4 linked regions of the Saccharomyces cerevisiae S288C genome follow. Changing the gene in region 1 together with any one later gene gives a genetic interaction. Each region holds a gene or a part of one and is shown in the gene's direction. Other genes may lie near its edges. The genes, in order: PFY1, BUD6, BEM4 and ASA1.

The links.
Region 2: mutations in PFY1 (region 1) and BUD6 are lethal when combined (synthetic lethality), as found in Saccharomyces cerevisiae (3 studies listed by BioGRID, with this or other methods).
Region 3: mutations in PFY1 (region 1) and BEM4 impair growth when combined (synthetic growth defect), as found in Saccharomyces cerevisiae (2 studies listed by BioGRID, with this or other methods).
Region 4: mutations in PFY1 (region 1) and ASA1 together harm fitness more than expected from each alone (negative genetic interaction), as found in Saccharomyces cerevisiae (2 studies listed by BioGRID).

What each region holds. Positions count from the first base shown.
Region 1 is NC_001147.6:547,827-554,563, reverse strand, and holds PFY1 (profilin), read left to right. Parts: upstream 1-1,676; coding exon 1,677-1,689; intron 1,690-1,898; coding exon 1,899-2,266; downstream 2,267-6,737. Other genes in the region: Paf1-complex subunit LEO1, read left to right, coding at 1-1,388; glycerol 2-dehydrogenase (NADP(+)) GCY1, read right to left, coding at 2,512-3,450; protein kinase RIO1, read left to right, coding at 4,318-5,772; RTC5 (Rtc5p), read right to left, coding at 6,004-6,737. UniProt on the Saccharomyces cerevisiae protein: Binds to actin and affects the structure of the cytoskeleton. At high concentrations, profilin prevents the polymerization of actin, whereas it enhances it at low concentrations. By binding to PIP2, it inhibits the formation of IP3 and DG.
Region 2 is NC_001144.5:767,162-776,080, reverse strand, and holds BUD6 (formin-mediated actin nucleation enhancer), read left to right. Parts: upstream 1-4,396; coding exon 4,397-6,763; downstream 6,764-8,919. Other genes in the region: MMS22 (Mms22p), read right to left, coding at 1-4,141; EST2 (telomerase reverse transcriptase), read right to left, coding at 6,885-8,919.
Region 3 is NC_001148.4:242,104-250,665, reverse strand, and holds BEM4 (Bem4p), read left to right. Parts: upstream 1-4,445; coding exon 4,446-6,347; downstream 6,348-8,562. Other genes in the region: leucine--tRNA ligase CDC60, read right to left, coding at 404-3,676; YPL162C (uncharacterized protein), read left to right, coding at 6,639-7,460; SVS1 (Svs1p), read left to right, coding at 7,966-8,562. UniProt on the Saccharomyces cerevisiae protein: Probably acts as a GEF (guanine nucleotide exchange factor) for the Rho family of small GTP-binding proteins (G proteins) that stimulates the dissociation of GDP to enable subsequent binding of GTP.
Region 4 is NC_001148.4:706,749-711,680, reverse strand, and holds ASA1 (Asa1p), read left to right. Parts: upstream 1-1,852; coding exon 1,853-3,184; downstream 3,185-4,932. Other genes in the region: RNA-binding signal recognition particle subunit SRP54, read left to right, coding at 1-278; transcription factor SUA7, read right to left, coding at 543-1,580; YPR084W (uncharacterized protein), read right to left, coding at 3,339-4,709. UniProt on the Saccharomyces cerevisiae protein: Component of the ASTRA complex involved in chromatin remodeling.

The sequences.
Region 1 (6,737 bases):
CTGAAAGCCCACAGGATCAACCACAGAAGGAGCAAATCAGCAATAACGTCGGCGTTACCACCAATAGTACAAGCAATGAGGAAACAAGCCGCTCTCAAGATGATAATGTCAAGGAAGTCAATGGAAATGATGATACTAAAGAAGAGGAACAAGAAGAAGACGCAGAACTAGATGATTTATTTGGAGATGACAATGATGACGATGATGATGATGATGTTAAAAAATCGGAGACTGAAAAAAGTGATAGTGATAGTGATGAAGACGACGAGGGAGAGAATATCAACCATAGAAGTCGTCATAGAGAAAGTCTCGGGTTAGATGATGATGAAGCAGAGGAGCAAGCCATGTACACCCGAAAATTTTATGGTGAGGATGCTAATAACTTTTCTGATCAAGATGAGACTACTCACACTTTTAAAGAGGAAAATGTAGAGCTTGTCAGACATATTATTCCAAGTAAAGCTAATGTGAATGAAACGGCGTCTCACAACGAAATTTTCTATGCTAGAATTCCCAACTTTTTAACTATCGATCCAATTCCTTTCGACCCTCCAAGTTTTGAGGCCAAAGTAAACGAAAGGGCAAGCAATTCAGCTTCTAGGGAGGATCAACTGGACGACCGCCTGATTGATGAAAACACTGTTAGATGGAGATACTCTCGTGACAAAGACCAACATGTCTTTAAAGAATCAAATACACAAATAGTGCAGTGGTCAGACGGTACATATTCGCTAAAAGTTGGTGAAGAGTGTACAGATATATTGGTCAACGATACGAGCAACACTTTTTTGACAGTATCGCATGACCAACAAGAGTTGATCCAGTGTTACGAAGGGGGTGAAATAAAAAAGACGTTGATGTTTATTCCAACTTCGACGAATTCAAAAATACATCAAAAACTAAGTAAAGCTGTTATAAGAAGGAACCAAAGACAAAGCAAGGGTCCTGGAACATACATTGTAAGTATGGATCCTGAAGTGGAAAAGAAGGAGTTAGAGAGAAAGCAAAGCCAGATTTTAAGAGACAGAAGGAGAAGACAGCTCAAAGAAAAGGAGAAACAAGAATCCCCAGATGCCGCTTTTGAGACGGGATTTAGAAAGCAAAATTCACCCACTACCTATGGAGCCTCGAGAAGAAATGAATATGAAGAAGATGACTTTTTAGTCGACGACGATGAGGAAGAGGAGGCTGCGTTTGACGACGAAGAGGATGATAATGAGGAAGAAGAAGAAGAAGAGGACGCGGATGAAGAGAACGCCTCTCGTCTAAGAAATTTAAAAAGAGAAGGAGCAGCAATGTACAGAGAAGAGGAAGAAGAAGAAAAAGATAGGAGCGAGACAAAAAGAAGAAGGGTTGCGGTCATCGAGGACGACGAAGACGAGGATTAGAGGAGACGTTACTTTGTTTATATATATTAGTATGTACAATCGCAAAGAAATGGAGTGATGACATGTTGTAGTATTTAGTATGAGGTTACTGTGTGGGAGGTTTTACCATGATTTTTGGCGAGAACACGCCATGAAATGTCTTTGTACGAAACTCATTACCCGCATTAATATTTTTTTTCTTTTTAAAGCTCAGTTGACCCTTTCTCATTCCCTTCTTAAAACAACTGTGTGATCCTTGAGAAAAGATAAATTACATACACAACATAAACCCAACTACGATCGCAAATTATGTCTTGGCAAGGTATGTGAACGAGACAATTATCAATTGATTAAGAAAGAAATGAGTCGGAGGTTAGCTTGTGTGACAATGTTTGGCAATGCCCGATTTTTGTTGATGCGCGTAATTTCGAAGATTAACCACTCAGAGTAAATTACTAACTGGAATATCAAAAAACATATGAAATTTCAAACATGAATTTCTTTCCGTTTTTTTCTCCTACTTTTAAACAGCATACACTGATAACTTAATAGGAACCGGTAAAGTCGACAAAGCTGTCATCTACTCGAGAGCAGGTGACGCTGTTTGGGCTACTTCTGGTGGCCTATCTTTGCAACCAAACGAAATTGGTGAAATTGTTCAAGGCTTCGACAATCCAGCTGGTTTGCAAAGCAATGGTTTGCATATTCAAGGCCAAAAGTTCATGTTGTTGAGAGCTGACGATAGAAGTATCTACGGTAGACATGATGCTGAGGGTGTTGTTTGTGTAAGAACTAAGCAAACCGTTATTATTGCTCATTATCCACCAACCGTACAAGCCGGTGAGGCCACCAAGATTGTCGAGCAATTGGCTGACTACTTGATTGGTGTTCAATACTAATTTATGCAGGTAAAGTTTTCTTGCCTTATACACCACCTATTCTGGCATCTGCGGGATTTCGCTTCCTATTTTACAAATATTTTATTGATTGACGCTAATTATCACTGTAAAAGGCGCACTTTTTATATGTAGTCACATCCGGTATTTAACATATTTACGAAACAGTCTTAAGAATATCGACATTTGATATACTTATGTTTAATTTATCTACATATTACAATCATACGAGAAACACGCAAAAACAATTACTTGAATACTTCGAAAGGAGACCAATTTGGATGTACAACCCTTTTTTCGCCCTTTTCCTTCGATATGTTATTGATAGCTTCAAAGTCCTCAGTAGACAAAGTAAATATTTTCCTGTTCGTTTTGATTCGATCGGGATTCACAGATTTTGGCAAGACAACATAACCTCTTTGGACGTGCCAGCTAATAACAACGTGTCCGGGTTGAACGTTATTTTTCTTCGCAATTTCAAGGATAACCGGTTCCTTCAATAGTGGAGCATCGGTACTACCTAACGGAGAATAAGCTTCAACCACAATGCCTTTACTTTTACAAAAATTAATCAATTCGTCTTGAGGTAGTAATGGATGTATTTCGACTTGGTTAGCAGCTGGCGTAAGCTTATTACCTTGAGATGCTAATAGATCTTTCAGGTTATTTATAGAAAAGTTGGAGACTCCAACGGCCTTAGTTTTACCAGTCTTTGGTAGTTCCTGCATTAATTCCCAGGTTTTGATGAAATTCCAATTGGTGATATCCACTGCACGAGAACCATCCTTCTTTGTTGGCACACTCAAGATGTCTTCATTTTTGATGTAGGCTGGATCTAATCTGGCAGGCCAATGCATCAAATATAAGTCTACGTAGTCCAATCCTAACCTCTTTAGTGATTGATCCAGCGCTACTTCAGGTTCGTGGTGTTGTGTACACCATAACTTTGTAGTAACAAAGATTTCTTCCCGAGGAACACCTGAATCCTTGATGGCTTGACCGACTTGGTCTTCATTACGGTAAATAGCAGCAGTATCAATGTGTCGGTAGCCATCTTTCAAAGCGGTTAAAACAGCCTTATAAGCATCGTTCTCTTTCGACTGCCACGTACCTAAACCTATTTGAGGGATTTGGGCTCCAGTATTTAGAGAAAGGATTTTCGTAGAATCATGTAAAGTAGCAGGCATTTTTCTATCTTAATTTAGTAATGAGAGCTGTCCAAATTTTAGCTTGCTAAGATGCACCTATTAAGCTCTCATCCTGAATCAAGTCATTAGAATGTCTTGATTCTCCCGGTTTTATACGCCCAGTAAAGCAATTCTTTACTGCCGTAGTCTTTTCCTGAAAGCTCGGTTTCTACTCTAGGGAATTAAGGAGAGCAGCGGTGTGCGATTCGTCACACGGGTGAATGCCTGATAGGCATATTATTAAGCCGTGTTTGCAATCTGCGTGCTAGATTGATTCTACCCCTTTCTGAGAAGGCGAAATGACCTTGCTATGACAATGAGGGAGAAAAGACCGCCCTTCCTTGTTCTTCCCCGGAATAGTCTGCCCCGATTGTTCGCCGGTGTTATAACTTACAATTCTTATACACTCCATAGGAAGTTTGTTGACAAGAGTTAAGTTTCAAATATCTAAAGCCAGGAAGTATGATCACCCAAGCATATCCATTGCAATATGTAAGACATTCAAGCGGATTTCTGGGACTTTAGAAAGTGAAATTTAAAAAAAAAAAAATTTAACAGAGGTCATACTTCCAAAAAAAAAAAAATGTAGAACTGGGCGAAATATCATCAGCTCATTCACTCTAATGCGGCCCTTCTGTAACCTCGAGCAAAGAGCCCAAATAACTTCATCTCTTCTCTCTTACGAACTGAAATATTCTCATGTTACCTATTGAGTAGTTGCGGGGACATTGGCGCGCGCAGAAAGAGTGAAAAATTTTATAGTGGAATATAGAAATTGAGATGAGATGAGATACTAAGACTAAAAATAATAGTAAAAAGAAGTTAAAACAGATTTAGAGATTCAAACTCCGTTATTTTTAGAAGGTCATGTCCTTGGAAGATAAATTTGATTCATTGTCTGTGTCGCAAGGTGCCTCGGACCATATTAATAATCAGCTCTTAGAGAAGTATAGTCACAAAATAAAAACTGATGAATTATCATTCAGCAGAGCGAAAACATCAAAGGATAAAGCAAATAGGGCGACTGTGGAAAATGTCTTAGATCCGAGAACTATGAGATTTTTGAAGTCTATGGTCACCAGAGGTGTGATTGCAGATTTGAACGGTTGCTTAAGTACTGGGAAAGAAGCTAATGTTTACCACGCTTTTGCAGGTACCGGTAAGGCACCCGTAATAGATGAGGAAACAGGCCAGTATGAAGTTTTAGAGACAGACGGATCCCGTGCAGAATATGCCATTAAGATTTATAAGACCTCTATCCTAGTCTTCAAAGATCGTGAAAGATATGTTGATGGTGAATTTAGATTTAGAAATTCCAGATCTCAACATAATCCAAGGAAAATGATTAAAATTTGGGCTGAAAAGGAATTTAGGAACCTGAAAAGAATTTATCAAAGTGGCGTCATTCCAGCTCCTAAGCCAATAGAAGTTAAGAACAACGTCTTAGTTATGGAATTTTTAAGCCGAGGTAATGGATTTGCCTCACCTAAATTAAAAGATTATCCGTACAAGAATCGTGATGAAATTTTCCATTATTATCACACAATGGTGGCATATATGAGATTGCTGTACCAAGTTTGTCGCCTGGTTCATGCCGATTTGTCAGAGTATAACACCATAGTTCATGATGATAAACTATATATGATCGATGTTTCCCAAAGTGTGGAACCTGAACATCCAATGAGTTTAGATTTTTTAAGGATGGATATCAAAAACGTTAACCTTTATTTCGAGAAGATGGGTATAAGTATTTTCCCTGAAAGGGTTATTTTTCAATTTGTCATATCAGAAACTTTGGAGAAATTTAAAGGTGATTATAACAATATTAGCGCCTTGGTTGCATACATTGCTAGTAATCTACCAATAAAATCTACAGAACAAGATGAGGCAGAAGATGAAATATTCAGATCGCTGCATTTAGTTAGATCATTGGGTGGATTAGAGGAAAGAGATTTTGATAGGTATACTGATGGTAAGTTTGACTTACTGAAAAGCTTGATTGCCCATGATAATGAACGCAATTTTGCTGCTTCTGAGCAATTTGAATTTGATAACGCTGACCACGAATGTAGTTCTGGCACAGAGGAATTCTCAGATGATGAAGAAGACGGCTCAAGCGGATCTGAAGAAGATGACGAGGAGGAGGGCGAGTACTATGACGATGATGAACCAAAAGTTTTAAAGGGGAAGAAACATGAGGACAAGGATTTAAAAAAATTGCGCAAGCAGGAAGCTAAAGATGCAAAAAGAGAAAAAAGGAAAACAAAAGTCAAGAAGCACATCAAGAAAAAATTGGTGAAAAAAACGAAATCAAAGAAATAATGCGGCCCTGTGAAAATACATTTGGGAATCGTTGTTTGGAGTCGAAGAACAGAAAGTAGGTCAGCAATTTAACGAAGAAAGTTCAAGACTAAAAGTGTAATATCAGTATCAAAAGTTTGGTACTTTTCATACAAGTGCAATAAATATTAAAATAAACAATAGCCTTATTTAGTGGTCTTGATTTTTAGTGAAATCAATCCCAATAACTAAAAACAGCAAAAAAGGCAGGCATCACATTGAACCGCCACCTTGATGTTGGCCAACTAAACCTGCCATTTCCAGTAAGGCACGGTCTTCTCCCAAGCTTCTCAGGTTAATTTGCTGTCTTCTTTTAGATTCTGCTTCTTCCCATTCCAACTGTTTGATTTGCTCTTCTAGTTCTTTCTCACCACCACAGCCCCATACCTCAACATCTTGAATCAAAAAATGCAATTCATAAGGGGAATTTTCCTCCTTTCTTTCCATCGACAATAAACCAGGGTCTAATGAACCTCCGTAACCAGTATTTCTAAACACAGCAAATTCTAATGTGCTGTCAAAAGTAAGCGACACGTTCCCTGGTATGTATCTCTTGGATGCTGGTTTTATTAATGGTTGTTTATCCCCGATTCCAATTCCGCCACCAATTGTATTGAAATAGATCGTGCCTTTTTGGTTGACTTTATAAATATCCTGCCTGGGTGATATTTCTATTATTCTCGTATTCAGATCGCCAAAATAATCTTTATTTGTTACTTTCCACGGATCGTCTATGTACACAGCGAAAGTAGTTTTCCTTTTATTCAAATGCGATGCATCCATCATTTGATCTGACTCTTTCAATTTAGGAAATTCTTCAAGAAAATGGCGGTATCTTGGATTCTTCTCAGCTGCGTATTCTTCAGAATTTGTTATCCTCATTCCGCTAACAACTAAAATCGAAGGCGCCATCCATTTGAACACCTTTGCTTGCAAAGACCTCATTG
Region 2 (8,919 bases), on another chromosome or scaffold:
CGGCGATCAAATCACTATTACTATTAAAGGTGTCGTCTGTTGCGCACTCAATACATAACGCCCTGTATACTTTGCAAAGTTCAGCAAATTCATCAGGAGATACCTGCTCGAATTTCATTTTTAAAACCTTGTTGAAAAGGTCTATGAAGTGAGATAGAAGAAAATTCTTGATATTCACGTCGAAAAAAGGTCTGTTCTCAAATATGTGTGCTATCACCAGGTCAGAAAAAAATGCAAAAGGGCTCTCTAACATGGTGGAGGTGAATAAAGTGCTTAAATTGTCAAGATATCCATCAATTTCATTCCCAGTGCAACAGGCTTGAACAATACCGGTTTCAACAAATGCAGCTTTGGAAAGTATATCACCTGCTTCATTGAATGAGTCCCAGAACGCACATTTTTCGTCTTCATCACTTGAAATACCAAGTTCCCTTCTTAGACTGATGAAGAGTTGATTATTTCTTAGCTCAGTCAAGCAATTTTTGTTAAGAAATTCGAGATATTTTGCCAAGAAATTTCTACTGATGTCCCCTTCATCGTAATGTTTTTTCGCCAGGGATAAGAAAACAGCTAATAGATCTTGATATGCATTTTTTTTCAATGCTTTAGAAAAAATATAAGCCAATCGCAGGAGTTCATTCTCATCGGAAACAGGTTTCAAATCTGCTACTATGATATGTGCCCTCTTCAACAGATTGGAAAGAAAGTGATAGAAAGCGTCATCTTTGGAAATGAGCAGCAAATCAGAAGCAATGGAATAAAGCGGTTTTTTCAGTAATTCAAAAGAGTCTGTATCACAGAAATCGATAATAAGGGAGTGAAATGCAAGCTGAAAGTGTAATGCAGCATCTAAGCCGTTATAGGTAAAGAAAGTCCACCAGGTAAATATACCAGAATCTACGAGGAATTTTCCGATCTGACAATAGCATTCTATCCATCTTTCATTTTCTTGAGCCTTGCTCTTTATAAACTGAAAAAGATAATTTTGCACCCAAGTTGGACCCAGCACATCTAAGCTCTTCAAATATACCTGTAATAATAAAAAAAAAGACGACTCGAATATATTTTCTTGAGACATGGCCACCAGTGAAGGATACAGAAATTTGAGCATACTCACGCTTTTTCTTTTCATTTTGGAGACTAAATTTGTGAATTCTTTCAAAAAATTTTCTGTTACTCCCGATATGGAAGGTTGTTGAAGTACTAGTTTATCAAATAATGACGCAATAAATTTTCCACTGAATGGATGATTTTTGATTCGACTGATTTCCAGGAATGAAAGGCTGGCCTGCATGATCAATGTTGTTATCGTCCTGACTGTGTTCTGTGTATGCAAGTTTAAATATTCCTTACTATATAACGGTCGTGTTAGCTCTTGGAAGCGCTTCTCTAAGTTTAAATCAAAACGTGTAGCTAGAACAATTAGTAGGTTGAGGCGGTTCTTCAAAACAGATAGAGAATCATTCATAGAAATATCACCCATCGGTATCACACGTTGTGTATCAGAACTAGACAATTCACACAACGTCAGTAGATGCAAATATCTGTTAAACATTAATCGACTCGTAAGCTGATTCGTTGGAGGATAAATTATCTTATTGTTTTGTGACAAATCAGACTCTTCTTCAAAGTCCGAAAATCTTCTCCGTTTGAATATGCGATCGAGAGAAAGAATCAAAGAATTTGTAACATTCCAATTACAAGTCTCAATGCAATAATTGATGAACCGAAATGCCGAACTCAAGGGTTGGAATTCAGAATCTAATCTCAAAACCTGCCAGCGGCAGACTTTCGTAGGAAATATGTTGACCAGCAACAGTGAAATATGAGGCGAAAAGGGGTGCTTTTGAAATAAATCCCACAAAGCTTCCTTTTTATGTATGACATCAACGACAGCAGAGAGAATATAATAACTTGTGTACAGATATTGCATTGGATTTTTCATAACAGAATCATAACAGACAGAAAGTAATTTGAAGAAAGACACAATATGATCTAAGAGTTTGACATCCATGTCGAATTTTGCAGCGGCTGAAATTTTGTTATATCTTGATATTTCTAGAAACATTAATTGGCATGCCGCAATTTGAAAAAAATGGATTGGTTTAGCTTTTTTCCTCAAGCTATTGACCTTCGATCTAAATTCACGATGAAATTCACCTATTAAGTCGAATAGTTCAGGCATGTCAAGGTGCACCAAAAAAGCAATAAGGCTTTCGTTAAAGTGAACTAGTTCAGTATCAGTGATACCTTTATCAATGATTACTCTGAATATTTTCTGTAATGATGTAGCTATATCTGCAGGATTCAATTTTGATAGCAAGAAACTCTTGTCTGACAACTGGATCTTGAAGAAATTAGGTGGCTCAAAAGGTTTTTTTAGTAAAATTGAGTCAAGTACGACCATTATTGGTCCAAGCTCTTGATTGGAGTCTTCTTCCTCAAATTCCATGTCATGATTAATGCTGTCCCTATTACGTACATTTGGCTTTGTGAAAGCGTATCGGTTCGTGGGAACCTCTACAACAGTATTGAAAACTGGTTTTCGTCTCGATTCAAGATCAGCGGAGAAACTTGAGTATATAGGTGCTTTCTTCTTCCTTCTTTTTTTCTGTGGCTTGAGAGAAGAGCTGTCATCCTGTTCTAGGGATTGAGATTCTAATTCTTCAAAAAAATAATCATCAATTACATGATTCTTCTTAGAAACAAATGAAACTGGATTATTAGCTGCCAAATGAGATTTATGCGCTGACCGTTTTCCGACTTTGATAGCTTTTGTACTTGGGGCCAGACAAGAATTTCGATATTTGTACTTATATCTTCTCACTCTCTTACTTTTTGTATTCAAAAAGTTGGCATCATTGGTTGCTTTAATTCTTTTAGGTTTAACCAACATCTTGTCAATTATACCATCGTTATGCTCTTCAGCAGCATCTAGGGAAATTACACTTTGATTATCTTCGGCAGATATATTGTATTGCTCACTAAATCCGCTATCTGAATGCCGTGAATTCAAATAAATAATAGGCTGGTCTTTATAAGACACATGTGATATGCAGCTCCCCGGTCCGTCATATTCCAGCTCATACACTGGTTCATTGCGGTATTCCTCATTTAAATTAAAACCAGAAGTTCCAGCCGATTGTGCGTCTTCACTATACTTGCTCTCATAATATTCTTGCAATTCCTTTAATTCCTTTTCGTTAGCCTCACGATCCTCTGGAAGATTTCCTAAGTATATATCTGGAGGGGCGTTTTCCTCGATATCCAGTTCGTCATCAGGTGCAATAAGATCGTTCAATAAGTTCTGTTCTTCATCTTCAATATGGGCGCTTCTGTTCATTTTCCTCTTAGCCACACCCTTATGGTTCAATAATTGAGTTTTTCTTTTCGTGACTTTTGAAGACTGCTGCTTTTGCAACGACTTTTCCCAAGCAACTCTTGGCAGGACCCCACGGTAACCAGTTCTTACATTCAATACTCTTCCTCTAAATATTACTTCGTCATTTTGAGTATTCTGTAAATTTGTACTAGCCAAGTCTTGTTCATCTTCCGTAGAATCACCTGATTGAAATACTATATCCTGGTCGAGGTCTTTAAAAGTACGATGCCTTTTCTTTGGTATTTCTTCATCACTATCATATCTTTGAGATTGAACCGAGCTGTTTTCGGGTTTAATGGAGTCGATTGTAACATCTTTCTGCTCATCTAAGGGTTTACCAGTTCTCTTTGTAAGTAAAATATCATTTGAGTGAATCACTGTAGAAGCGTTCTTCGGTAAGGTCAACTGATTCGAAATGCTGTCAAAACTAGAGATATCATAGCCCTCTAGCAACTGCCTATGCTTTATGCGTTCTAAACTGTATGGCATCTTTTGAATAGCCTTCCTCTTCCTCAAAGACCACCGAAGCCCCGTAGTAACTTGTGTATCAGTTACTACGGAAGGAGTACAAGATTCTCCAGCAGTGGAATCCAGGCTCAACCTCTCAGTGACAATTTTCTGTGATCTGCTTGCTTCTTGGACGTTTTCCTCTGCCCATAAATAATTTTCATTGAATTCGGGTTCGTATATGATACTAATTTCCTCATCAGTGGCCTCAGAATCTGATATCACAATAGGATTCGGTTCATCAACATCCATAAGCTTATCTGCTGACGCTACCACTAAACTTCAAATCTACAATCCTATCTTTTATTCTTTCACTTCTTGAATTTAATTTTACACGCAGATGCGCTTTACTCTTTGAAGATATCTCGCTAGCCGAGCTGAACGAATTTTATCCTACTATTATGCATTCTTGAGATAATGGCATCAAAACAAACCCAAGAAAAGGGAAAAAGAGTAGAAGCTGGCTGCCAAATTGGTGTAGTAATCCTCGTATTATTTTAAAATTAGATGAAGATGGCCGTGGATGACCCTACGTATGGCACCCCAAAGATTAAAAGAACTGCTTCTAGCAGTAGTAGTATTGAAACGACAGTAACAAAGTTGCTGATGTCCACCAAGCACCTCCTCCAGGTCTTAACACAATGGTCTAAGGGGACAACCTCTGGAAGATTAGTATCTGATGCATACGTTCAGTTGGGCAATGACTTCAAAGTCGTATCGAAATTCTTCATGCATGCGAAAGTTGACATGTCAGATGTTGGTGATGTGCCAATGGCTTTAAGACGTGTATTGGAAGTGACATTGAGGGAACCACCATCTGATGAAACTTTAAATAAACATCTGCCAAAAATCAGAGAGATTATAGTGACACTTTTAGACAAACTAAAGGTTAAACAAGCAATTTTGAAGAATATGCAGCAAGAGCATCGGATAAGTGTAAAATCACATCATCAACAAAACCCTTCCTTTACTAGTAACCTTTCATTGGGTAGTGAAGGGACCCGTGAGGGGACTCCATTAAGTAGCAGAAAAAGCAGTATTGTACGTGATCAGAGGCAAAGCGATTCAGTCGAAAACAGCTATGGGGAAAAAGTGAATTCTACTTCTACGGGAACACCCTCTGCTCAGTCAGCAGAGGCAACATTGACAAAACCAAGAACTAATATTAAACAAAACCTTAAATCTAACAATGCTCCAAACGCATCTGATGATGATGATGCACTTTCACAATTGAAGAAGGGAACTAATTTACAAAGGAGAGCCTCAAAGAGATACTCTGCCTACCATATGGCTAAATTGACAAATCAGTCTACAACAGAAGCTGCTGCGGCTGCCGGCCTCATGACAACTCCTTCACCCTCGATGTTGCATCTAGAGGAAACCGTAAGAAAGTCAAAGTTATACGGAAATAACAACAATGATGATGATAGAAACATTAATTCAGCTGAAAATAAGGGTAAAAGCATTGACGATGTATCAAAGGCGAGTCCATTGGCGAAAACGCCATTGCCTATTGAGAATGTTCGTGCATCTCCACGAAGATTATCAAGCGTTGTTACAACTTCGCCAGATAAAGCCATGAATGGAACTTGTCCAGTATTTTTAAGGATAGGAGACAAAACAAAGAAGTGTCATGTGCAACTGCCTACTACAAAAAACGCATTAAGGCTCCTATTTATTGAGCGCTTTGCGTATTCTCCTGGAGCAAATTCCTTCCCAGACATATATATTATGGATCCTCAATATGGAGTATTCTATGAATTAGAGGAACTAAATCTTCTCGATATTAAAGAAGGGTTTGTTATCGAGCTAAAGCTCGAAGAGAATCCAAATAATACGATCAAGGAATTCATTGACACAGTTAAGATGGAGATATCGAATAGTCAGAATGATATAATAAGACATTTAAAAGAAATGAGTTTTGGTTCTGCAATTAGCGGCAAGCAAACGGAAGTTTTACCACAACCTGGCCTTGAAGCTAACAAACACGATCTTGTGGGGCAAAACAAAAAAGATGATGATAAAACGATCAAAGATATTCAGTACGAATTGGGGAAAATAAAACAAGTGCATAATATTAATAGGTCAAATATTAATGAGACTATTTTCAACATTTTACGAAAGGTCGATAACTTTAAGTCTTTATCATTTTCTGCCAAAAACTCTTCCAACAGAATGTACATGGAAAAATCACAGACCGAACTCGGTGATTTATCCGATACTCTGCTAAGTAAAGTAGATGATTTGCAAGATGTAATCGAAATTATGAGGAAAGACGTTGCTGAGCGTAGGTCTCAGCCCGCTAAAAAGAAGCTAGAAACCGTATCCAAGGATTTAGAAAATGCCCAAGCAGATGTACTTAAACTACAGGAGTTTATTGATACTGAAAAACCACATTGGAAAAAAACTTGGGAAGCTGAGCTCGATAAGGTCTGTGAAGAACAACAGTTTCTCACGTTGCAGGAAGAGTTGATTTTAGATTTGAAGGAAGACTTGGGTAAGGCATTAGAAACTTTCGATCTTATTAAGTTATGTTGTGAAGAACAAGAAAAAAACCCTTCGAGATCAAAAAGTAATCCTATTTTGCCTATTATGAGACCGGGCACATTTAATCAGGTAAGGGAGCAAGTTATGGTGGCCGTCCAATCTTTAAACCCTGACCACGATAGTAGGGTCGAAGCTATTGACAAGGCTGAGAAGATGTGGGAGATGGAAAGAAAACTTAAAGCTAGTAATGAATTTGATGATGAACTGGAAAATTTTGTGGGTAATTCAAACCTGAAAAAATCGGGAGGCTTTGAAGAAGTAGAAAGGATAAGAAAGCAGAAGGATGAAGCAAATTTGAGAGCATATTTTGGGCCGGGGTTTACTTAAATACACTAATTTTATGAAAGCTAACGGAAAAGAGATTAGTGCTTTTGGCTTATTACAAAGTTTGCGGCAATATTTTCCTTATCAGCATCATAAGCTGTCAGTATTTCATGTATTATTAGTACTAATTAACTATATGTATATATATATATATATATGCTTGCAAGTGTTGAATTTCCTTTCTCAAAAGAATGATATTATCTTTAAATTTTGATGTGTTTGAAGATAGGCTTTCCAAAAATCCATTCAATATGGTGAATCGTACCTCATACTCGATTAAAGGATCACATTTCGTAATTGGACAACCGCTGACTGTCATTTCAATGATGCGTTGTAAGAACGAATGAAATTGCATATTTTGCGTAACATTAATTGATAGATCCTTAAAAGCAGATTTATAACATTCCGAAATGTTCTTTACAACATGATCAATTTGCATGAGAACGGTGTTTGTTGAATTTAAATTTGTGTCAATTGTTTTATAAGAGATTCTAGTGTTAAACAGCGCTATTAAACTTCGAAATATCCCTTTACTAGATTTCGAACGGATATGGAAATTATTCATTGTGCTTGAATGTTTCCAAACTTCCAATTCTTTAACAAATATGTGCATTGCACAAAATTGAATAACCGTATCATCATCTGATTGGGAGCTTACGGCTAAAATTTTGTCTCTATTGGCTTTCGCATTATATTTTTGAAATCCGCCCATGGCAAGCTTTTTGATATTGATCACTTGCTGTTGGTCTGTTGATATTATAAGGAAATCGTCAGCCAGTTTTAAAATTAATGTGTCCTGGCTAGGACTGGCTTTAAACTCGCTATAAAACTCCAGAAGATCGTCATACACCAAATCAACGATCGGAGCAGATAAACTAGAGCCCTGAAAAAGACCATCTTCTCTAATGTAGCACTTATCTTCAACCCACAAAGCTGTTTTAAATATTTCCATCTCTACAACGTTTATAACATCCTGATTTGATAAATGAACCGTCCTCACATTATCTATGTATAGCTCATAAGGTTTTGGTACTCTGCTAGCGTTAACAACATTAAATAACTTCAATACACCTGTATTGGTATTGAAGAAATATTGAGATCTAACGAAAAACCCATTTTCATTTTTTAGCGCATCCTTGAGTATCCTCATACATTCCATCCTTGGTATGGAATCATAGCAAGATTTGACATCAAATTTCATGAAATAAAGCTCTGGTAAGACATTATTAAATTTCTTTAAAAGTCTCTGCTTAAATTCTTTGATACGGTCAGCTATTTGCGTTGGAGAATATATTTTAGTAAAACTAGTCGGCCTTTTGTTTCTTAGGTATTCTAAAATTTTTTGAGTGGGCTGGATAGCATTTTTGTGATTCTCCTTATAAATTGTGAATTCTTCTTCGTCTGCCCCTCTGCATGGGATGGCAATAATCCTGAACTCATTATTACTTTTTTTTGGTATAATCCTCATTTTGCTATGATTGAAATTGGACAACGTGTAACTATTATGGTTTCTACATACGTTGTTTTCGACTAAGTACGTCTTAAAATATTCTACGATAAAAGGGGTGATAAGTTTATTCCAAGTATCATGTCTAAAGTAAACAATTGTCACTGTAGAAGATATTTCGGTGCAGTAAAAAAAAGTCTGTATAATTTTGGGAATTAGTTGTCTAAATAGCCAGGAAATGAAACAAATCGCCAATTGATTCAAGTTTTCAAAATTGTGCTTGGTGAACCAAATATCAGAAATGAACAACCACCGAAAATCCTTTAATCTTAACTTTTTCAACAAACTATCAAATGGTAAATAGCCATTTAAGGGTAAACTTAATAAAAGATTTAGATTCTTGATAATTTTTCCTTTATTTTTCTTTGAGCCAAACATTTCTTGGGGTAATAACTTCTGTAAAATAACAATGATAAATTTCAAGACTCGTTCCTTTGGTGATTGCCTACTCAAATGCGACAAGTCCAATACGGTCCCTTCCAATGGTGGGCAAATACTATTCAAAATAGAAACGTAATTCAAACGCTTATGTCTCTTTAATAGCTTTTGCAGCGTCAAATTAATTCGTACCTTTAGTCTCTGAGGAATTTTAACCAAATTTGTGGGAAAAATAGCTTCTCTCAAGTCAGTTAGCTTTTTGATAGATGATGAT
Region 3 (8,562 bases), on another chromosome or scaffold:
ACCTTTTTTACATGTATATTTTTATATATTTATTTATTATTCTTTTACTTATTGACCTGCTCCTCTCATCCATCTATCTAATATAGTTTTCTCACGACTACTTTTCTCTAGACTAGTCAAATAGCCCTCAAACCCAGATATTTGCAGCTAAAATAACACGAATAAGTAAAGAATCAATATACATATCCTCCACAAGAAAATGTGGAAACATTTTACAAGAAAATGAACGAATACAAAACAAAAACAGTTGTGCAATTACAATAATTATACGATATATACGAGGCAAATTATCAATGCGACGTGATTTCTGGTTGCTGTTTATTGATCTTTATAAGTATTTCTATGAGAATTTCTTGTATCTTTTATCGGAAAATCACCATGAGGCATCTTGAAATATTCTCCTTTAAATATTTTGGAAGACAACACCTGGGTTACCTGGAACAGCATTTTCAACAATCTTTGTTACAGGTGGAATTTCAACTTCTTCACCAGTAAAGATATCCTTACCGGTTTTGGCGCCATATGGGAAAGAAATTGCGCTAAATTCAGCAATTTTCAAAGCTTGTGCTGCCTTCTTAACATTCCTTGCAGCAGCCTTGACAGTATCGATTTCGCTGAATTGTAACTCTCTTTCAAACACATCCTCTGGCTTTTCATTAGCTAAACGTTGTTTCAATAGAGAAATGAATGGCATAGCTCTCTTCATTTCTTTAGGCTCAATATGCTCTCTGACCTTTTTGTTATCGTCTAAAGTCTGTTCGCTGAATAGTTTACGGACGATTTCCACGCATTGTGATTGCCATTCTGGAAATGATTCAGAGATCAATAAAGTCAACTTAACAGGTTTGGATGCATCGATTTCAGCAGACTTGCCCTTCTTCTTTTTTAGTGCTTGCCCTTCGCCTTCTCTTATGCTTCTCTGTAGATTTCTCAAGTAATCCAAAGCAGCCAGAACACCCTTATCTACTGGTTTGGATGCACGTGGAAATTTGGCATTTTGTACAGAGGTTTGGTTACCTAGAACTTCACGGTAAATATACTCAGCGAAATGAGGCGCAATTGGAGCCAGCAATAAGGCTTGTGTTTCAATATAACGTGCAATTAAATCTTTATGCATTACACCACTAGCTTCACGATAGTAATCCCTAGCAGCTTGGAAATCAAAAAGACCGTATTTCAAGGCATTCTTATAATTAGTCAATGCATACTGTTCATAAGTCTTTTCAATCAGAGCATTCATTTCGTGTTCAAACGCGATATCAAAGAAATCTGTAATTTCCCCAGTTCTCAAGTTAGATTCCTTGGTAATTTCTTCTGCCCACTCCTTCAAATTGAATAATCTCAGAATAGCAGCATTAGCGTTAGATTCGTCAAAATTTGCATCTTCAACAGTATCTCCCGCATCGGCAAACGCAATACGAGCTGCATCAGCACCGAACTTTTCAACCGTTTGTTCTAAAGTCATAAAATTACCTGTAGATTTCGACATTTTAGAATTGTTTAACATCAAATGACCGTTAGCTCTGATACCTTTAGGCCAGAATTTCTTTGGGAATAATGCAACATGTGTGTAAATGAAGAAAGTTAAATGGTTAGGGATCAAATCCTTCCCGGAAATTGAGACGTCTAATGGGTAGAAATACTCAAATTCCCTTCTCAACTTTTGTAAAGCAGGCAAAGGAATATTGGTGTTCTTGACATCATCCTGATGTTGGAAAATGTAATCGAAAACCTCATCTGTCATTTGATCAGCTGAAATGCCTAATGGTCCAATTTCGTTACCATAATAATCCTTAAATAGTAAGTGAGCAATGGTATAAAATGATTGATAAATAGTAGAGTCTGATAAAGACTCAACTAAGTATTTTTCATCCCAAGGCAATCTGGTACCTAACCCGTATGTACGGCAAACAGCCCAGTTTTTCAACCAATCCAAAACACCTTCAAATGCGTTTTTTACCTCAGGAGCAAATAATTGCATCCCTTCCAAACATTCAATTGCTTGTTTCTTCCAACTTTCTTCACCGTAATCAACGTACCATTGATCTTCCAAAGAAACGATACAGTCATCACCAGAACGTGACATGACCTGAGATTCTGGTTCGTTGTAGACGAAAGCTTCACCGGCGGCAATCATATCAGCCTTAACCTTGTTTTTGGCTTGTTCGACCTTCTCACCTTTATAAGGACCATATATCATGGTACCAGTGTAGTAATCTTCCTTGTAAGCAATTTTCTTGGCTTCTGCTAACAAGTTCTTATCCTTTGGAGATTGAATTTTTTTTTCTTCAACAATAGCCTTTGCAGTTAAATCACCATACTTTTCGGTATGCATAATTGGAACAATTTCATGGTCAATCCATTCAGGTTTAATGCCGTAGTATTCAGGTTTGTGCAACAAGTCCTTGGTGGTAATGTAGTCATCTGGTGAATTAGATGGTACACACGTGACGACACCAGTACCCTTGGTAGCAATGACAGTTTCCATAGGCAATATTCTTAGTTCTGGATATACAGATTGTGGGGCATGAATCTTGGTACCGATAAATGCCTTACCTGGGACAGTAACTATCGGCTTGTAGAAGCCTCTCTTTGGTGTTAGCTTTTGGTAAGACATGTTCTTGAATGCACGTTCAGTAGTGATAAAATAAGAATCACCAGCGTCAAATATACCATACTCAATTGTTGGAGAAACAAAACAACATGTTTGTCCATACATAGTTTCCGGTCTCAACGTGGCAGCGACAAAGTAGAATTTTTTGGATTTGTCAAGATCTGAGCTTGAATCAATGATTTTTGCGGCATCATCGGCGAACTCTAAAGCTTCAATTTTCACACCAATATATTCTTGTGGTGTAACACCTTCACCGGATTGTCTATCGTGATCCATACAAGCTTGACCATCTTTTTCAGAGTAAATAGTATAACGTTCACCGAATTTGATTTTACCAGCAGCCTTTAACTTGTTCATTTGCCATCTAATAAAGGCATCGTAATAAGGATTGGCATCAGTGGTGACAAAAGAACGTCTCCAATCGATACGAGCCCCAAGTGAAGTACAATCACTTTCACACAAAGGTGGGAAATAGGTCAACCAGTACTTGGCGTCGGCGAACTTAATGATTTCTTCTCTAGGGATACCAAGCTGTAACATGATTTCGAATTGGTACTTACCACGGCCCTTCTTGGCTGCGGCTTTAGATTTTTTAGCTTTGAATTTGGTAACATCCTCGTGGTCTTTCTCAGCCGGCGTTTCTTCTTTAATTTCTTCTTCTTCTGCTGGTACATTGTCGAAGTTCTTGCCAAAAAGTTCGGCTTCCCTCTTTAGTTTATCGGCACATGCTAAGATTGGCATACCTGTACAGTGAAAACCCAATGGAAACAAAGCTCTTTTACCGTTCATCCTTTCAAAACCAATAGAAAATTCGACTTTGGAGAGAGTAAAACAATGGCCGGCGTGCATAACACCGTTCATATAAGGATAGGCCATAGACGACATGAATTTAGGATACGTGCGATGTAACTCTTCAGAGTCCATTGTAATGGGCTCATCTTCGATTGATGGCGCATCGATTTCAAATTGGTGCTCTTCAGCCCATATTTTTTGGTACTTCTTTTCGATGGCGATTAACGCATCTCTACGTGCCGTGTTTTCTAAGACCAAACCAGAAGACATTATAGACTGGTTAAAGATATTTTTTTTATATTCTTCACTCTGGAAAAAAATTTCGGTGGCTTTACGTGATTATGATTTATAATAATACAATCATTCAACGTTTGAATAGAATATGCGTTAGGTTTCTTTTCGCTTTTGATTTTTTTTTTTTTTTCATTATTTGCGTGGGTGACTGATTTAGTTTTTCAATGTAAAAGAACCGTTAACGGCCAGACCTCGTATAAAGTGAGGATAACTATAGGCAATAATGGGCGATGTGTATGTAAGCACGAGCACTAGTTCAATACACATCAGAAAGAAACTTCGTCTAATTATTTCTTACCCAAGTAGTCACCCAAAAAGACCTTTTCAAAATATGACCTTGATATTCCTTGTCCGTCAGTTACCAGTTTTACTGTTAGCCGCCGAGGTCCTAAGGGCCTCGTAAGATCGTTCTTGTCTTCCCATGACTAAAGTTCTGCCACTAAGTTTAAGCAAACTCGGCTAAAATATTGAGCCAATATCGTATACTCATTTGTCTGATCTTCAAATAGTGAATCCCTTCCTAAACTTTCTTGTGATAAAGGTACTTAGTCAAAAGTATTTTTCTTTAACCATGTCAAAATAAGATCATATTACCCGCCGGCGGCAAGCCAAGCAACGTAAAATGGCTGAAGACAACGTAAGCAGGTCACTCGCGAACTAAAACTAACCGCGAATAACAAATCACCTCATCTATATTTCAGCCCCAAAAGATTGTGGTTTCAAGTGAAAATAACTGTCCTACTAAATGGATTACGAAGAAATTTTATTTGGTCTGCAACCGATCCTCAATGCGTCTTCAATAAAGGATGTTCCGATGAACGATGTCTACTTAGGAAGCTACCTAGCGGTAATGGACCAATTGGCTGTTTCGTTGAGAGAACCAAGTAATAGAGATATTGTTGGTAAAACTGGGCTGCTACTGAACCTAGTAAGAGTATTAGAACAAGCGCTTGATATCTGCTTTCATGATACGAGCATTTCAATTAATGATAAAATAGCGTTTTATGAGATCAGTTCTGAAGTGATTAGATGTATCGCTAACGCAATAATTGATAATGATGATAATCGGGAAATTCTCTTGGATTCTGGAGGTAAAAAGCTTCTTAATTATTATATAGGCGGGGTTCTTCAGCTGGACGAAATTTCTTCTGACAAGAGTGAGGATAGCTTAGTGGATAAATTACAGATGCGGTCAGTTGTGCTACTAAGGAATTTTTGCATTGGAAATCTCAAGTATACAGAAAATTTGGCTCCCTTCATTAGAGGTCCATTATTTGTTTTGTTGAAAACCACACAATATAGCTATTTGTCATCTCCCGAAAAAGTTGTTTTAGGTTCAGATTTATTGAACGATATTTTAAAAGTCAATTACTCAAATGTTCAAATAAGCGATCTCTTTTTCTTAAGCCAGTACATCAAAAAAATCTCTTCAAATGTGCAAAATAAAGAATTGCAGGCAATGGAAGATGGAGCAGTCGAAGCATATTCAAATACTGAAACTCAGAAGTTCGCTGGCCAAGGAAATCAAGAGTACATCGAAAAAGAGGAAGAAGATGATGAGGAGGACGTTAATTGTGAATTGCTATTAAATCTGTCAACATGTCTTGAAACTATTGTAGCCAAGGATGAAACTATAAACTTTACCAATGAGGAGCAGCTTGTGCTAAGCATGCAAAAAAATTTAATATTGTCCTTAGTTTGCTTAGAATCAAAAACCTTCAATAATAAGCTAATTGTAATGAGAAGACTCATATCGTGCGCAGGCAACATCTCCGCCAACCTAACAAACTCTAACAAACGAGAGCAATCATTATGTATCGAAACTATTAAGAGTTCCGCAAGTAGTTATGCCCTAGCCGCAGCTTTGATGATATTATGTAACTCAGTTGCATCCAAAAGTGACGCTGTCGCGCTACTGAAGCTCATATCTCTTAGTGAATTGATTCAAGTTGGTAGCTTGCTACAAGACCCACTACAATATCAAGGATTCCTAGATTTACTGAGGAAGCTGTTAAATCTGGAAAATACCATGTGGCTAGATATCAAGGACCTCTTCACCCTATTTCAGATTATGAGAAGATGTCACGAGCAAACTAAATATTATAACAACCTGAGATCGTTATTAACAAATTTATTAAACAAAACTTTAACGGTGCTTCCAAGTTCAAAAATACACAATTCAATAAGCAGTGATCCAACAATTATCTCTTTTATAGCAGAGCATGGAACGTTAACGTCCTGTATTGCGATGGATAAGCTGCTTGTGTCCAAGAAAGCCCTTCCTAAAGAAGCTATTACATCCCTATGGGATTCGATCTTCAAATTCCAAAATTTAGGTCAAGCAGAACAACTAAGCATCTCAGATTTATTTCATATCACAAAAACGGTTGGAATTTATTTAAAAGATTCAAGTGTAACAGCTGACGTGAATCCGATTGAAAATATACTATTCAAGGATTACATTCAAAAGTTAACCCTGATATTAGAGACCATACTTTCATTTAAAGAAAATAAAGATAAGGGTAGCGAGAGTTGTTTCAACAATGGGAAATTTATAGCGGGCATAATACTAAACATTGTGAAAAATACGAAATGCTTAACGCCAGAGGAACAAAATTTAGAAGCGCTTGCAAAATCGTTCTTTTAGACACGTAATCGCCTTACCTACGAGGGGAGAAAACGTTCCCTCTGCATGTATATATATATATATATATATAAATATTAAATCTTGAATATTGTTGGATTAAGCATGTGCTTGACAAATGGTGTATGGGTTTGTAGACGATGAGAGTGGAAGGGAGATTAAAAGTTTATTGCAGATGCGAACATCTGCACAAAAGTACTTGAATGTACTAAGCAGAAAAAGTTCTAATACATATTAGCAGGAGGCCCAACAGTCACACAAGTTCAGCAGAACTGCCAATTAATCGAAAAGAATATGTATGTTTCTAATGGGAAAGACACTTGCCAGTTGTTGGGGCCCGTGTCTCTTTTTGTCCAGACATTGATGGGTATGACAGCCGTGATTGTGTTATTGGTGAAAAGAAACTATGAGCATCCAAGGAGAAAAATGATTGTGTGGAGTTATGACATTGGAAAACAAATCATCGGCTCTCTTGGAATCCATTTTTTGAATCTAGGCATCAGCATACTGAAGAAAAGACGAAGGTCACTCTTCGCAATCACTGCAAAAGGCAATGATGATGAGGATCAATGCGATTGGTATTTTCTTAACTTACTCCTGGATACTACTGTTGGGATTCCCATTCTTTGGTTGTGCTTATACATAATTGAAAAAGTGCTAAAATCCTTACACTTCCAAAACATTGAAAGTGGTAATTATTTTCCATCTAAAACCGTTGGGAGCCACCCCAGAAAACCCTTATTCTCTGCCTTCGTGAAACAGCTGCTTATATTCATTGTTGGGCTGGGCGTGATGAAGTTCTGCGTGTTTCTAATACTAAACTACTTAGAAGACTTGGCATACTGGTTCGCCGATCTTATCCTTGGCTGGTCAGATTCATGGCCAAACTTTCAAGTTTTTCTGGTCATGTTTGTCTTTCCTATCTTACTGAATTGCTTCCAGTACTTTTGTGTCGACAATGTCATCAGGTTACATTCTGAGAGCCTAACGATAACCAATGCAGAGAATTTTGAAACGAACACATTCCTAAATGACGAAATTCCTGATTTATCGGAAGTCTCAAATGAAGTGCCTAACAAGGATAACAACATTTCCAGCTATGGTAGCATAATATAGTATTCCAAGGATAAGGAAAGCATGCACTGTTTATTTCCTTTCCTTGCTTAATTGATTTTTTTTAAAGGGAACAAACATTTTGATTTCAATTTCCACAAGCCTAGACTCTTCAACACATAATCTGTGGGTTATTGTTTGGGAAAGCATTCTCCGCTAGAAGAATGAAACTGGCGCTCAGGTTTGATTCTATAACTACGGCAGTTTTTCCTATTCTATTTTCGTTTTTTGATTTTCCCGCCGCATTGGATATTCAATTCGCGACGCTAATAATTGGCATTTCGTGTTCTTAAGTAATTTCGTGTTTCAAATAACCGTAAACAGAGAAAGACCCAAGAATTTCAGATGGCTTAGAAGAGGTAGACATTAAATCAATCTGTATGTGATGGAGAGGGAGTGTATTTAAAAGACGTAAGAAAATGAATTATCAAGATCCGTTATGGCCATCTAGTCTCTTTCTTGTACACTAGTTGTCTAACACAACCAACAAATTAGAATATATATCGCAATGATTTTCAAAATATTGTGTAGTTTACTACTGGTAACCTCCAACTTCGCTTCTGCCTTATATGTCAATGAAACTACGAGCTATACACCATACACGAAGACATTAACTCCAACATACTCTGTTTCACCTCAAGAGACAACATTAACGTACAGCGATGAAACAACCACCTTCTACATAACATCTACTTTTTACTCTACCTACTGGTTCACTACCTCCCAATCAGCTGCTATTATTAGTACACCTACTGCAAGTACACCTACTGCAAGCACGCCTAGCCTAACTACGTCCACAAATGAATACACCACCACCTATTCTGACACAGACACCACCTACACGTCTACTCTGACCTCTACTTACATAATAACTCTATCTACGGAATCCGCCAACGAGAAGGCTGAACAGATTTCCACGAGCGTCACAGAAATTGCTTCTACAGTAACCGAATCGGGCAGTACATACACCTCTACTTTGACCTCAACCTTATTGGTTACTGTATATAATTCCCAAGCTAGTAATACAATAGCGACATCCACAGCTGGGGACGCCGCCTCCAATGTTGATGCCTTAGAAAAGTTAGTCTCTGCTGAACATCAATCT
Region 4 (4,932 bases), on another chromosome or scaffold:
CCAATGCTAGGATGCCTGGCATGCCAAACATGCCGGGTATGCCAAACATGCCTGGTATGCCGAATATGCCTGGTATGCCAAAAGTGACTCCACAAATGATGCAGCAGGCACAACAAAAGCTGAAGCAAAATCCAGGTCTAATGCAAAATATGATGAACATGTTTGGTGGCGGAATGGGCGGAGGAATGGGCGGAGGAATGCCTGATATGAACGAAATGATGAAAATGATGCAAGATCCACAAATGCAACAAATGGCAAAACAATTCGGTATGGGCTAAAGGCCACCATTTGAATATACACAGTATATATATATATGTATGTATGCATATTTCAAATAACTTGTTTAGCTTTCATCCTTTCGAATACCTCCTTCAATAAAAAAAAAAAGAAAAATCTTGTTAAATTATAAAGTGTTCATTCTATTTTTTTGAATTGTAAAATAACAAAATAAATATTCGATTGAACTGCCATGGAAAAGGTTCTACCCTCTAACACGAGTACCCGTGCTTCTTGTTCCTATAATTTACTGTTTTATCACTTCATTATTTCTTTTCAACGCCCGGTAAGTTATCCAAAGACACTACACCATTAGCAATAAGCTGCGGATCCACAAGCTTGTCTCTATGCTCATAAAGTATCTTGTAACCAGATTTGATGGTACCTTCAGTAACTTGCAAGGTTTGGCCCACTTTCGCTGCGGTAATAGGGATCTGAAAGAGCAGGATGTTTAGATAGATGGAAACAACAGCGATAGTAATAGGGGATTTACCTGCAATTTCTTTGATCTCTTTACATTTCTTTGCGGTATATTCAGCAGAAGTAGTGACTTGCATCGGTAAGCCCAGATGCGAACAAAACCTGGGTATATAAGTTAGGTTTTGTGCACCACTCATATTATCGGTATCAATCTTCAAGAAACCATCTTCGCTCTTGCCTCTTAAAATGTTCTTCATTATGTTTAAAGTTTTACCAAACTCTTTAGTTTTGACATGGATTAATGACTGGATTTCTTTAAAAGTCCTTGCCACTTCAGCACGTCTGCAACCAATCAGTATGGATGCAGCCATTATACTCTCCATTGATTTCCCCTTCAAAGTTTTTTCATCGTGGCAAAGTTTATATGCTTCCTTGGCACAATCTTTCACAATCTTCGGTAATTCAGCAGCATCACATAGCATGGTAATCTTAGCAAATGCAGCTTGTACTTCATTATCCTTTTTATCCATCACATTTTTTCCTTGTGCCTTATTCAGTTCTTTGGTGAATCTCATATCCGTGGTTTCACCCTTTCCGATCCTTGTAGATAGGTTATTCCCATCTAAAAGAGGATTTGAAGCCTCACCAACACGACTTGGGTCATCACCGTTGTGATCATCATTTGAAAACGTTCTCCACTCCGACCTGGTGTCAACCAGTTTATCTGATAGTACTAGACCACATAGAGCACATACAACATCCCCTTCACTAAATCTTTCAACGATTTTTGGTGGGTAGACTTTGCACTCCGGACACGTCAGCACAATATTCAGATTAGGACCCCTTCTTCCTGCTCTTTTATCTATGCTCTCCCTAGTCATCATTCTGCGTATCTACTTCTCCCCTTCTCTATCACTGGATCGTCCACACCAGCGTCTATTAAGTTGTCTTTATAAGTGATGATTATTCTCTTCACTTTTTTTTAACTAAATTTATAACAAAATTTTTCGATTTTTAAGCAAATATTGAGACGAAACGGTGATGAGTAAGACAGAAATACAGAGATACTAAGCTATAAACTACTATTTAAGCACGTGCATAAATTGGGTGTGATGTGCAGTCAAGGCGAGCGTCGATTACAATGGGCGTAGAACACATGAGAGGCTTTAGTAATGAGATAATCCTGAAGAGAACGTTGACTTTATCCGATTTCACCTTACGTTACCATAAAAGGGGCATCACAGCTTTGCAGGTCATCAAAGCACCGTCAGTTTCGAATGTGCCAGTCTTGTTATCCGGTGATAACTACGGTTATTTCGTTATGTGGGACCTGGTGACCAAGAGACCGATTACACATATAGAAATCGAGGGCAACTCGCACATTATAGCGTTTTGGTGGGTGGAAACTACCAATGTGCTGTACATTCTTTCGAAAGACTCCATGCTGCGAATTTTTGAGCTTGATTCATCTACACAACTATCTATAGATTTAGTTAGAAAGCTTAGCCAAGCCAATAAAACGGATCATTTACAATGGACTAAAATCTATGAAATGCCCATAAACACACTGAATTTTGCGAATTTCATCATCGAAGCTGAAGTGAAACCAACCAAAGATAATAAAAGTTATAGATTGGTTTGCTGTCATACTGATGATTCGGAAACTATCGATATATATCAGATAATAGAAGACTCCACATTTAAATTGAAAAGACCATTCAATAATATTAATTTCCCCAGATTCTTGAAGCAGCAGAATTTTTTAGGAATTTCGAAAGACTCCAAATTCGGTATCATAATGAGATTTGCTAAATTAAACGATGTCATATTTTTAGGTTATGAAAATGGGTTTGTAGTCGGATTTAAAATTACTTTTGATGAAGGCCTTCAAAGGGACATTGCAGAACTGGTCCATGTTTCTAACGATCATTATCCGAATCCAATACTTGATATGTGTGTTAGCGGGGATGAACTTTATAGTTGTTCAACAGACGATTTCATAACCAAGTACAAAATTCCAGTGAACTTACAACTTGAGACGAAATACCTTAGAGATGATGCGCTTTTGATAAAATGCCCAAGCTCACTGAGAGTCAGTGAGCCATCAAAAGTACATCTTCCCTTGAAGAATATTGGTCATATTGATAAAGTAAAAGACGATTACTTAGTCGTGAGTAGTTGGTCAGGTATGACCATTGTTTATAATATGCGGACTTCAGAAGTGGAGCAAACTTTTGTGAAATCAAAGAACAACCTGGTCGTGAGTGATAGCTCTATGGGAGACCTAACAAACGGTAGCGGCTCAAATACCGAATCCAGCTCGAAATCCCATAACTATAAAGTGGGAGCCATGACATGTTTGGAATCGTTTGATGTGCAGTCAGATGGGTTGAGGTTAGGACAACTTAGACGTATTAAAGCGCTGGCGAAATGTAACTGGTGTTTAATTGGATATGAAGATGGTACCATAAAGCTCAATAAAATATAATTATTTTTTTTCCTTTTCTGTTTACATGGTTTCAGAAAGAACATTTGTATATATACATACGTGCCTATATATACATATTTCCTCAATCCAAGTAAAAAAAAGTGCGATGTATCATGGTCATAAGAATGTTAAAGGGAGTTCTTCCCTCTATCAATTATTTTATAATTTTCTTCAACATATTTTTGTTTAAGCCGGCATTGTTGTTTTTCTTCTTGTCATTCATTAAATGAGAGTTGTAAATTGAACTTGAATTACCACTACTACTACTTCCATTGGAATTAGAAACCAGTAGCTTCATCTTTTCTGATATTTCCTTTATTAGTAAGCTAACCGCCACATCGACATTTAAATCATCCATGCTGTCTATTCCAACAAATCCATATTTCCATTTTGTTGCTAGTTGTCTTCCCATTTCAATCAACATTGGGCTTGCGAGTTCATGATTAACGTGAGAACAGACGATAATGCATGGTGGTGGTGAATCGGGAGATGAGGGGTCTAACTCGATGGATTTTAGTTTGGTATTATAGGATCTCAATTGCTCTATTTTGGCGCTTTTCTCTTTGCTATTTTTACTCCATAGATGTCTCAGGCTGTAAACCAATGAGTAAATATCATCCTCTTTGCCTTCCTCCCATCTTTTTTCATAATTTCGAAATTCAGTCCAAGCATCTAGTATGCAGTTTCTAATCACTTTTAAAAGTTCAAATCCACCATCGCTGACGTTTTCCGTATCTGTGTTCATCACATCATCTCCATATTCCGGAGGGCCTCCAATATGGTTTAATTCAGGGACTGCGCTATACACCAAGATATAACCGTCAACTTTACCATTCAACTCAGAGGCACCAGAGGCAACCAATAGTGAAGTAGTAGATACAGGTCGTCTTGGTTCATCTGCTAGTCCATGTAGGATTGATTTTCCTAAATTTCGGAAGAGAGAAACTTCTAAGAACGGCACCACATTATCAGGACTGAAGCCAGGCGTATCAATAATATCAATCTGGATTGGTGCATAAGTGGGTGGAATGTAATTCAGGGGCAATTTAAAATGCTCGATAACGTTAAGCTGGTCTGCCTTGATTTTAGGAACACTTTGAGAGTTAATGTCATTGGAAAAAGTTTGATACAGCGGAGAATCAGATTTATCCAAAGATAGGGATCTCCTGGAGTGGCTTTTGTTGTGTAACCTCACTGATTGAAAATTATCAGTGGAAGCTTGAAACACCAATGGCGACAGCAGTACATTTTTGGAGACCTGAGGTGAAGGGAAGATAGGCTCTAAGGTTTGGCTGCTTGGGGAACGAAGGCAAAGTCTTTCGTGAGCTTGTTCGTCTAATATAGCTCTGGCCAGGATCGATGACGGAACAAAGCCGAAAAGCCAGTTAGTTTGGTTTCTTGTTGGATAATGAACCTCGTGGACGATATTAACAGTAAGCCTAGATACCAGGGAGGTCTTTCCGGTAGAAGTGCCCCCCAGAACGGCCAGCCGTATGGGTCTCTCTTCAGAAGCCTTCTCTGACATTTCTATAAAGCTCTATGATGGACGAGTCAAGAGAATAAAAGCTTGGCTGCGTCTTATTGAACTCTTGGGATAGGAAACAACGTACAGAGTTCTAAAAACACAACAGTTTATTGATAGTTAGTTTTGCATCGATGTTATTAGTGTTTTTCAACTGGTTCACTATTTTTCAGGCTTAAACTCGCTGCGATGGGATTAAAAAATAAAAGATGGATGTGAGTAGTAT